2 linked regions of the Saccharomyces cerevisiae S288C genome follow. Changing the gene in region 1 together with any one later gene gives a genetic interaction. Each region holds a gene or a part of one and is shown in the gene's direction. Other genes may lie near its edges.

The links. Genes that interact genetically often act in the same process or in processes that back each other up.
Region 2: mutations in UGA3 (region 1) and HMS1 together harm fitness more than expected from each alone (negative genetic interaction), as found in Saccharomyces cerevisiae (one large-scale study listed by BioGRID).

The regions. Positions count from the first base shown.
Region 1 is NC_001136.10:154,487-159,323, forward strand, and holds UGA3 (Uga3p), read left to right. Parts: upstream 1-1,831; coding exon 1,832-3,418; downstream 3,419-4,837. Other genes in the region: GLT1 (glutamate synthase (NADH)), read right to left, coding at 1-1,154; UGX2 (Ugx2p), read right to left, coding at 3,578-4,249. UniProt on the Saccharomyces cerevisiae protein: GABA-dependent positive regulation of genes required for catabolism of GABA (UGA4, UGA1, and UGA2).
Region 2 is NC_001147.6:386,544-392,917, reverse strand, and holds HMS1 (Hms1p), read left to right. Parts: upstream 1-1,842; coding exon 1,843-3,147; downstream 3,148-6,374. Other genes in the region: Rad2 family nuclease EXO1, read left to right, coding at 1-502; YOR032W-A (uncharacterized protein), read right to left, coding at 542-742; DFG16 (Dfg16p), read right to left, coding at 4,234-6,093. UniProt on the Saccharomyces cerevisiae protein: Involved in exit from mitosis and pseudohyphal differentiation.

The DNA.
Region 1 (4,837 bases):
GGTTCCATCAGACATGCAGCCCAGTCGTACCATGCTTTTAGGTCAGAATCCATATCCTTATGATACGCTTCAGGAACCATCATCATAACAGCTTCAGGTAGAGATAATGTGCCATTAATAGTCAATAGTTCTAAAACGTTATCCAATGCAGCTGAATCAGAACCACCTTCTTCGATAATTGGGTATAGTTTGTCTAACTCATCTTTGAAAGTTGCTGAATTCATCACACCTTCTCTGGAGCGCATCCAATTCTTGTTACCTCTTAAGGTGTTAATTTCACCATTATGAGCTAGCCAACGTAAAGGTTGAGCTCTATCCCAAGAGGGGAAAGTATTAGTGGAAAATCTTGAATGGACCAACGCCATGTGGGATTTGAAATGCGCATTAGTCAAGTCGGGATAGTAGTTATACACTTGAGCTGGCGTCAATTGACCCTTGTAAACAATGGTGGTATTGTTTAGGGAACAAACATAGAACCAGTTTTCCAGTCCTATTTGAAGAGAGGCCTCCTTCCTTAAAAGATACAATTGAGTTCTAAATTTAGTTTCATTAAACTCCGGTTGTTTTTCATCATACAATGGAACCAATAATGGCTGTAGAATAGTAGGTTCACGAGATAATGCAACGTCTCCTAAAATAGTAGAATCTACGGGGACGTTTCTCCAACCTAATACGGATAAGTTGAAGGATGCAGCTAAATCCTCGAAAATCTTCTGACACTTAATTAAATTTTTCTTGTTATTTTTTTCGTTCTTCTTGAAGAAGACGTTACCTACGGCGTATTTGCCCATCTCAGGTATGTCTAGATCAAGATCTAACTTGAATTCTCTTTTCATAAATTCGTGAGGAATACCTAGCAGAATACCGGCACCGTCACCGTTCCCATCAGATGAGACGGCACCACGATGTGTCATATTCACTAAAAGATATCTAGCGTCAGTAACAATCTTGTGAGACTGTTCACCATGCTTATTTGCTACGAAACCGACACCACAAGCGTCATGTTCATAATCAGGGTCGTAAAGTCCTCGTTTGTCCGGAATCACATTTGCCCAAGATTTATGAAGATGGTGTTCATCGTTATAGTTTTGAATTGTCCCACCTTCGTAAGCTTCTTCCAATGGATCGAAATTGTCTGATTTCAACACTGGCATGCTTTCTTTTCTAATTCTTTTTCTAGTTCTTCAAAATAAATAAATGGCAAATAGATTAAGAAAAAAGAGAGAGTAGAAAGACAAAAATAAATAAAAAAAAACTGAAGCAGAAAAATAAATAAATAAGTTAAACGTTAATCACTACCTCAATGAGCTAAAAGAAGGGGAAGAAAGAGCAACTGAGAGTATCCGTCTGCGTAGTATAGGACTGAGATAGCAATTTCCTATCTTCCTATGATGTGGAGACGATTAGTTTGGTGTGTTATCAAGTAAGATATAAGAATTGATTAATTTGGTAAGAAATGAAACAATAGGACGAAAAATACAATAAGATAAGGAAGACCATCAGAACTTATGAATGACTAAGAAAAGCAGTTTATATTTTTTTTTTGGGCAATTTATTGCTTCTTTTTTTTACGTTTTGCGGGCATCACGTTCGTCGTGACATATGACTTGAAAAATGTGCAAAAGCTTATCGGAGCCAATCGGATTGACGCATTAAAACCGAAGTGTATTAGGACCAAATTTGCGCTGTATAGGGTTGAACGGTAGGGCTACCAGGGTCTGAGTCATCAAAGAAAAAGAAATTACAATAAGAGTCTTACTTAAGATGATATAGAATTGTTGTTATTGTTCATGTATGGATGCCAAGAAAACAAAGTTTTTTAAAGTGAGGTATGAATTATGGCGTGGAGAAGCTGAAATTGAAATATTCGAAGCATGGGTGTATTACTTGCAAGATCAGAAAGAAGAGATGCTCTGAAGATAAACCTGTGTGCCGGGACTGTCGTCGATTAAGTTTTCCCTGTATCTATATATCAGAATCTGTTGATAAGCAGTCTTTGAAAAAAATAAAGGCAGATATACAGCACCAGTTGATCAGCAAGAAAAGAAAGCATGCTCCTGACAGTGCTCAGAAAGCGGCCGTGGCCACCCGTACTCGACGGGTCGGTAGCGACGAACAGGATAACCAGGTATATTTGTCAAAACCGCTGGAAGATTGCATTTCTCAGAAGCTGGACTCTATGGGATTGCAGCTGTACAACTACTACAGGTCTCACCTTGCAAACATAATTTCCATCGCGCCCATGAACCAGAACTACTATCTGAACATTTTCTTGCCAATGGCCCACGAGAATGATGGTATATTGTTTGCTATTCTTGCTTGGTCAGCTAATCATTTGTCTATATCATCATCAAATGAGCTGCGAAAGGATGAAATATTTGTCAACTTGGCGAACAAGTATACATACATGTCGTTATCGCATCTAAAGACAAACGAGGGCTCAAGTGCCTGTGCTAAACTGGGGTTTCTATATTCACTAGCACAAATCCTAATCTTATGTGGTTCAGAGATATGTCAGGGTGATGTGAAATTTTGGAAGATATTATTGAATATAGGAAAAAATTTGATCGAAAACCATGTGGGCAAGGATGTCTCACGGATACTAACCACTACTACAGAAGAACCCTCCCTAGAGGAGAGGATAATCTTCCCCAATTTCAATTCCGTTGTTAAGTACTGGCTGATTGTGAATTTTATATATCATGATATTTTGAATTTCAATACAACGTCCTTCCCGATCGAACAATACGAGAAATTCTTCCAAAGGGATCAGAACTCTTTACCCAGCTCAGCCAACTTTATTGAGTCAATAGACTCGCCAATTGAGGAAATAGACCCTTTAATTGGCATCAACAAGCCTATTTTACTACTATTGGGACAAGTCACAAATTTGACGAGGTTTTTGCAGACTATGGAACAGGAAGAAATGCTAGAGCATGGCGATAAAATTTTGAGTTTGCAAGTCGAGATTTATAAATTACAACCTTCGCTTATGGCGCTGGAACATTTGGATGATGAAAAGAAATTTTACTATTTAGAACTATTCGAGATAATGAAAATTTCTACCTTAATGTTCTTTCAATTAACTTTATTAAAGATTGACAAAGATTCGCTGGAACTACAGATACTGAGAAACAAATTGGACTCGAAGCTAGACAAGGTCATCGGAACTTTTTTGGAAGGATCGTTATGCTTCCCACTTTTCATTTACGGTGTATGCATTCAGGTAGAAGATATGGAGAAAAAAATAGATTTGGAAGCCAAATTTGACGACATTTTAAAACGATATAAATGTTACAATTTCCAAAATGCTAGATTATTGATACGGAAAATTTGGCAAAACGAGGCTGATGGCATCAGTGAGCATGACCTGGTCCACATGATTGACGAATTAGATTACAATATTAATTTTGCCTGAGCAGCATATATTTTCTTTCCCCGCCCCCTGGGTGTCTTAAATTATTGTTTCACCACACAAACATATATATGTTCTTTTTTTTTTTTGTAGGACGTACGGATTCAAAAACAATTTATACCTATACAATGTAGAAATGCTAACGTTGAGACATAGAAGTAATTATTTAATTAACCATTTTAGGTGATTATTTTCAGGGGTGTCCGAGTCCACCTCTACAACATCCACCTGCCCGGTTTGATACCTGTAATCGCCTGTCTTGGAGTCCTCCACAAAGCTTATGCTTCTCTCAGATTTCCTGCGTGGCCTATCCATTATGGCTGCTCCTGCATACGACGTGCCAGTGCCGCCAATCATATCTATATCATGATTGCTTTCCCCGTCGCTTGTACTATCTTCATTCGAGTGGACGTCATGAGCCCATACAGATTTATACCGATTTGCTCTCGGAAATTCATGGCCATCTAGCACTTGTATTCTTTGGTAGTGATCACTATCATTATCCTCGTCACTCTCGTCCCTTTCACAAACGGGGCTTTCCCTTCTCTGCTTTGCAGTCCTTGTTAATTTAGTCTTAGACTTCATTTTAGCTCTTTTATTAGATTTTGTCTTTAATTTGCCCTTGATCTTCAAAATTAACTCATCAAAGTTGTCCTCGTGTGCATCATATACCACCTTATATGATTGTTGGTATTGTGTGGCGAATAAGTCCTGGTTCCAGGCAAAACCTTGACTTTGAGATACAGATATTTTAAAATTTGGCCTTATTTCTGCACTATATGTAAATACCGAACTGGTATTTGAGTATACAATAAGTTTCTCCTTATCCTCCATGACTCTTCAGTAGCGGTTATGAACACGATATAACTATCTGCATTTAACGCTGGTACTGATTTCAATTTATCCTTATCAAATGATACGCTCTTTCCCTTTAAAAAGCGCCCTTACCTCGTTCCGAACGGCGCTAGTAAGAATTTCATCAAATTGCCCTTCTTGTGGGGGGATGCTCATCACAGACTACTGAATATGCATCACAGAAAAGACAAAAAGAACCATTAACATGATTCTGCATATATTTGAATGATTAATCCATGGTATTGATTTAAGGCGGTAAGAAGGAAAATTTAAAATTTGGATATTACCATCTTCTTCTACACTCATATATATTCCTAATTTCCTTTGCATCAGGTCAATCGTGACAGTTGTTGCTTATAAATGCGATTATTTTCTGCGTAATATCCATAATTACTTCAAGAACCCCTTAGGTGACAACCGAAAGTCAGCAGTCACTTAATAGTATTTAGTGTCAGAATTTGTTGGCCTATTTTCTTACATTCACTATATAATACTTACGGGGCTAGTTTTATTTTCTACCACAAATAAAAATAAAGCATCTTTTAATTTTCTTCCCTTGAATGGCTT
Region 2 (6,374 bases), on another chromosome or scaffold:
AGATGATGACGGTGATGGCGATACTAGCGAGGATTATAGCGAAACTGCGGAATCAAGAGTTCCCACGAGCAGCACCACCTCATTTCCCGGGTCATCCCAGAGGAGTATATCGGGGTGCACAAAAGTTTTACAAAAGTTTAGATATTCATCTTCATTCAGCGGAGTTAATGCAAATAGACAACCACTATTTCCTCGGCACGTTAATCAAAAAAGTAGAGGAATGGTATACGTCAATCAAAATAGAGATGATGATTGCGACGATAACGATGGTAAAAATCAAATCACGCAAAGGCCATCACTGCGAAAAAGCCTTATTGGTGCCAGGTCACAGAGAATTGTGATTGACATGAAAAGCGTAGATGAACGAAAATCATTCAATTCATCACCAATTTTGCATGAGGAAAGTAAGAAAAGGGACATCGAAACTACTAAGTCAAGCCAAGCTCGGCCGGCAGTCAGATCTATCTCCTTGCTTTCCCAATTTGTTTATAAAGGTAAATAAAAGTTAAGTACTGCACGTTTCATATCGGAGGTATATTTTTCAAATGAAAATCTCGTCGAAATGCCTCAAGACAAGAATTAAAAAATCAATGCCCAGTAAAGTAGGACAGGGTACGGTTGGAGTAAGAAGCCTTCTACTTTGGGAAAAAGCCATTGTACTAGACCAAGAAAAGATTAAAAGTAGATGTGTCAAATTAAGCCACAAGTATGTTTGCCCCGCTATGAACAATGCACGCCGCATGTGAGGACAACTTTATATGTTTTGCGAGCGCGCTGGGCATGTGCAATTCACATTTTTTTTTTCCTTTTTTTTAACCCACTCTATTTATCTAATCAAGCCGCTAGCGGTCTACATTCGCTATCAACTGAACGAATAGTGATGCAATCTGAACCTTAAACTTTTCGCTCGCTTTTACTTTCCAGAAAAAATTTTCTTCATTGGGATTCCTCTGCTGACAAACGGGCTCACAGAACTGAGGAAACGAGAATTTTGTTAATCAAAGCAACATTACGGGAAGGAACGGAACCGTCTCGTTGCTGTGGGCGCGAGTTCGACGCAAGAAAAAAATGCTGCAGCATCGTCTTTTGTGAACGCCAAGAAGGAGTCCGGCGAAGGTATTGGGCGTCACAACCTTTTATTCTCCGCAGTGTCTCTTGCCTACAAAGCCTGCAGAAGCTTTTATGCCGGGGTGTACGTATGTTAATCAGTTACCCTTTCCTACTGTGTGCCGCACCCCTCATTTGCTCTCGATACGAGAAGTTCCGCGCCGATTCTGGCCTTTTTGTTTTCTGGCTAGCCTACTTTCAGGGGACGTGCCTTCTTATGCCGCTGTAAATTACAGCAGAGATTTAGATCTGAGTGAAAACGTGGCGAGGAAAAAGGGTACACCGTTAAAAGCGTAGACACAATCCCACTTTGTTGTGCCTAGTCTTCTCTGCTGTATTTTAATTTTCTGTTTGAACTTTTTTCCGTTCTTTTCCATCATTGTTTAATTTTTACTTTGAGTGGGCTTCTCAAAAGAAAAAAATAGCTGGTATTGTATTTTTACCGTAGGCGTTTTCTTTGTATTTTTCCCAAGAGCAGCAGCACCTTTTATATACCTTGGTTACACATTGTAAGCCTCAAAAATCGTCCTATGTAAGTGTCTTATCGCATCATACTTAAGGTCAAACCTGTAAAGCGCGCTTCTAGTTTTATTTCTACTACTCGCCTTGGCTCTCGAGATCGCTTAGGTAGTTTAATAGTTAGTCACACCCACCCACCCATTCGCTTAGAATATAGAATATAGAGCAGTTGCAGTACACGACTCATTTTAGCAACGATAAGAGTATAAATTGGAAATGCCAAATTTTCAAAAACCTTTTTCTGGTTCTTCGGATGGCAATTCTGTAATGAACGACCTAGGTAATAAAGTCGCCATCAAGGTTTTTGATTGTAGAAGTGCTCAAGATGGCAGCGAAGAGCAGAATGTAAATGTAACCACGAACCAAATGTATTTAATGTTTCAAAGTAACAATTACAACGTGCCGCCACCAAATTACAATACCGAGGATTTGGGTTCTCAAGGACCTCCGACGCATGCTTATTACGCTCCATTTCAGCATCCCATCCATCTTCAACCTCCCGTGCCTCCTGTATATAAGAACAACACATATTCTGCCACAGACCAGTATAGTGACTCCTCGTTTCCTAATACTTCAGGCCACACTCCAGTAATTGATAGTAATTACTATAATGATGCTCTGGCTTCTATACCTACAACAACGACGGGTAGTACTACAATGACTACAGACAATGGCAATACTATTGACAGCGAAGAATACATTGATAACATGGAAGTCTTTAGTAGCGAGGAAAATGAAAACATTGATAATGTAAAGCAAACCGATCTTAAATCTGAAAAGGACTCGAGTCTTCTTTCAGCAGCTTCAATCGTGAAAAAGGAACAATTGTCTGGCTTTGAAAATTTTTTGCCTTTATCGAAGACAGAGTCTCCCTTAGTTACTGCAGACGAGATTAAATCATCTTTGAATTTGGAGAATATTGACAATGCTGACAGTATGAGCTTCAAGTTAAAAACTTCACCTATACGGAAACATTTTCATGTTAAACCCAAAAGAATAACAAGGGTGAGGACAGGAAGGGTATCACACAATATAATTGAAAAGAAATACCGTTCCAATATTAATGATAAAATTGAACAATTAAGGAGAACTGTCCCAACGCTACGAGTAGCGTATAAAAAATGTAACGATCTTCCCATTACATCTAGAGACCTAGCAGACTTAGATGGCCTAGAGCCAGCAACAAAATTGAATAAGGCGTCCATTTTAACGAAATCTATTGAATATATTTGTCATTTAGAAAGAAAGTGCCTACAGCTAAGCTTGGCTAATCAACATTTATCAAATGACACACGGGATTCTTTCGTCCATCTTACCGAGCCATCTCAACCGTTGAGTGACAACAGTAGTAGTGAACAAGTACAAAAGCAAACCAGAAGCTGCCAACGCCAACGGCAGCGGCAGCCACGACAACAACAACCATTGCATAACATTCAATATAATATTCCACATCAAAACGGCCTCATGAGCGGCACCAACAATTCACATGATATGGATTTTAACAACGCAGGAGACTTTTAATACTTGAACAACAAAATGTTTCAACACGACAGATAAAACGAAGAAGAAATACTATATACAAATCTGTACTTGTGTGTATGCGTAACATTGTAATTTTAATTTTGCATTGAGAAATCTATTTTATTCATCTCTTTTAGTGTTAGTAAACACTCGCAGATGCCTTGAGCTCCGCACCGTAATTTAGTTTAATTTATTTCTCTTAGTGCCGTCTAAATAATAACGATCTAAAAAAAAGATTCCGGGAAAAAGAAACTATACCTTATATTTAGTTCATGCAGTTAAATAAATGTTGTTAATTAAGGGTAAAATATGATGATGTATTTATGATAAGTAAAGAGTAGGGGTCACCTAACATTTTTCACAATTGCATTTACTCTTTTCACAAGTGCACGTGGTTTCGCATTTGCATTTTTCACCACAACTCTTACATTGAGGGCTTCCGGTGCTGTGATCACATTTGCACTTTTCACCGCCAGAACAGCTTGGAAGGCAGGTGCTCCCACAATGACAAGAGTCCTTACAACATTCGCCTTAACAGTCACATATTTTTACAGTCATATTTATTGAGTACTATTTGACATTGTAGTGTTCAGTGTAATATCGCTTCGCTATTCTTAGGGGGGACGATGTGCGCCCTTCTTATATAGGCCCCGCTTGATCACTACTTCACAGCCCTCTCGCATCCCTATCCTTTTTTTGTCCGAAAGACAAAAATCACTTCCACACAGCAATAAAGACGCATTTATTGTTCTTTTTCTTAAAAGTGCTTGCAGTAGGGGGTTTAGCAAAAGAAAAAAATATATGACCGGTTGTTATGCGATCTGACGTAAAGTGGAACTCATTTTGAAGGGTTTCTGCACAGAAGTCAATGCCAGAAGGATTTGGAACACCTACAGGACTGAACGTCGGACTAAAATAATGTTGGTAGAGTATGGTATTACTGTAAATTAATCGTTTATACGTGACGTTGACGATGGGATTTGATTTTCTTGTATATCTGACTTGAAAATAAAAGCAATAAATGACCACAAGAAATAAAGGCAGCTGTACTTCTGCAGTTATGTCTTTTCGTCCACTGGGCCTGCCTTAATCACTATTTTCGTAATTATAAATGTGGTTGGTTCGAAGTTCGGTTTCCATACTTTCGTTGTCACTGATGTCTGTAGCTAGATAATTGGAATCTCTAATATGTTTGTCGGCTCCTGGTCTAACAGTTGAGCCTTCTTTATTCTGTCCAATGCCATTTTTTGGTTCATATGAATTGGTTTTTCGCCTAGGCTTCCTTAATAGCTGTCGATATTTGGATAATGTCGTTTTAGTATTAGGTTTGCCATTCGATTTACTTCCAAAACTGGGATTTTGCCCAAATTTATTCTCACTTTTCATTATCTTATGTCTTCTTCTTCTGTCCCTTATTCTTTCGATTGGAGATTTCCAGGTGGGTGAAGGGGATCCTACTAAACTTGATGAATCGTGGGAAGTAGTGTTACTTTTAGTAGTGTTTAAATCCCTGTTTAACGTTATGGCGCTTAAATGCTTGCCTAAATCTTCTCCGTAATAATTGACTGTTGGATTGGCGAAAAATTTGTCCCTATTGTTAATTTTTCGTCCAAGGACTGTTTTTTTGCTTATGTGCAGCTCCCTCTTTTCCAATACTCCAATTAAGCCCCAAACGTTCACTGTTATTAAAACTTTCAAAAGATGAACAAAGTTAAATGTCCAACCTCTAACATGTTTGGTGAAAGCAGCGAAAAAAATTGTGGTGAAATAGAATAAAATAAATATAAGAATATTATACGCCAATAATGGTATAGTTTCGTGATAATTTTCCCAAAGAATTCTCAATTTCGTTTTACACTTACCGTCCGTATTAATTTCAGCAGTTTTCGGTAAAAGTATGTAAGCAAAATTATGCCATGTGAAGTAACAAATAATGGAGATGAAAATTGTGTAAATCAGTAATTCGATTAGCTTGTAAAATACCTTCAAAACTACAAGGTTCTTTCTCCAAAGAAGGTTTGCGAATAAAATGTTATCGGCTAGTGAGAGGAAGCAACCCACGGTAATTATGATATGTGTCCCCTTTTTCATTTTAAATGGGATCCAATTCCAAGTTGGTTTTCCATAATTGGACTGTAAGTAGTGAACAATATAAATCCAGTTTATATCACTCAAAATATTTGCAACTAATTCACATATTTTATATGGTGCAGTTTCTACGATGAACGATTCAAATTGGCTCGCATCCTGGTAGTCATCGTGATATTGGCTGTCAAATATGACGGCTATAGTCTCGTTTAGAAATACAGTTCTTATAATCGCAGAGAAAAGGACGTAAACATGTACAACTTTATTTCTTCTATTATGATTATCGGATGGCAGTAATAAGACAACCAAAAATAGCATCCATGTTGCCACACAGATACACCCAGAAGCAAAGGTGATCATTATCATTCCTAAGGGAAATGGGTCTTTTCCGATGTATTTACTACTGTCATCTTGAACGTTGAATTTGTTGTTGATGTCATAAACAAAGTCTTGTAAGACATGAGAGAAATTAGGATTTGCACTGCCATTATCGCATCGGATCAAAAAGGATGGGTAATTTAAAGTGTAATTATAAGCACGTAAGTGCCACGAATTACTTGCTAGAGAGATGAAGCCACCTGTCAATACATTTACCGTGCATGAGTTTTCATATTTATTTAGTAGTTTATCATCTATCAAATCAGTCAGATTGTAAGCTGGAATGTTGTCGATGTGTTTTTTATAAGGTGGCCGGTGGTCGTAATGCGGTGGTCTTTCATCACCAAGTTTATGTCCCGGAGGACCAGGTATCAAATCGGGAGGTTGAATTCTCTTTCTTGCTGCTTTTTCATACGCACCTACAAGTCCTAAATGGTAAACTAAAGTGAGGAGGTAGTAAAAATGCAATCTTATGATCATTAATCTTGCACGTAAAGACGTTCCGCAACAAAAAATGCTTGTGAGTGCAATATCAATAAGTATTGTTTTTGAGCCTTCGGAGTTGAGCTGCCATTTGGTGGTACTTGTTTTGAATATGATAGAAGCCTTATCTTTGACACTTCTTCCAGTCAATTTTCTCGCCAAGTTAAAAAAAAAAGTTACAATTTTCTCATCACCCCGAAACAACAAAAGAAAGTATATTGCTCTTTAGCCCTTCCTTGCAGATTTTTCAATCCAACGGGGCTAGTAAATCTGATATC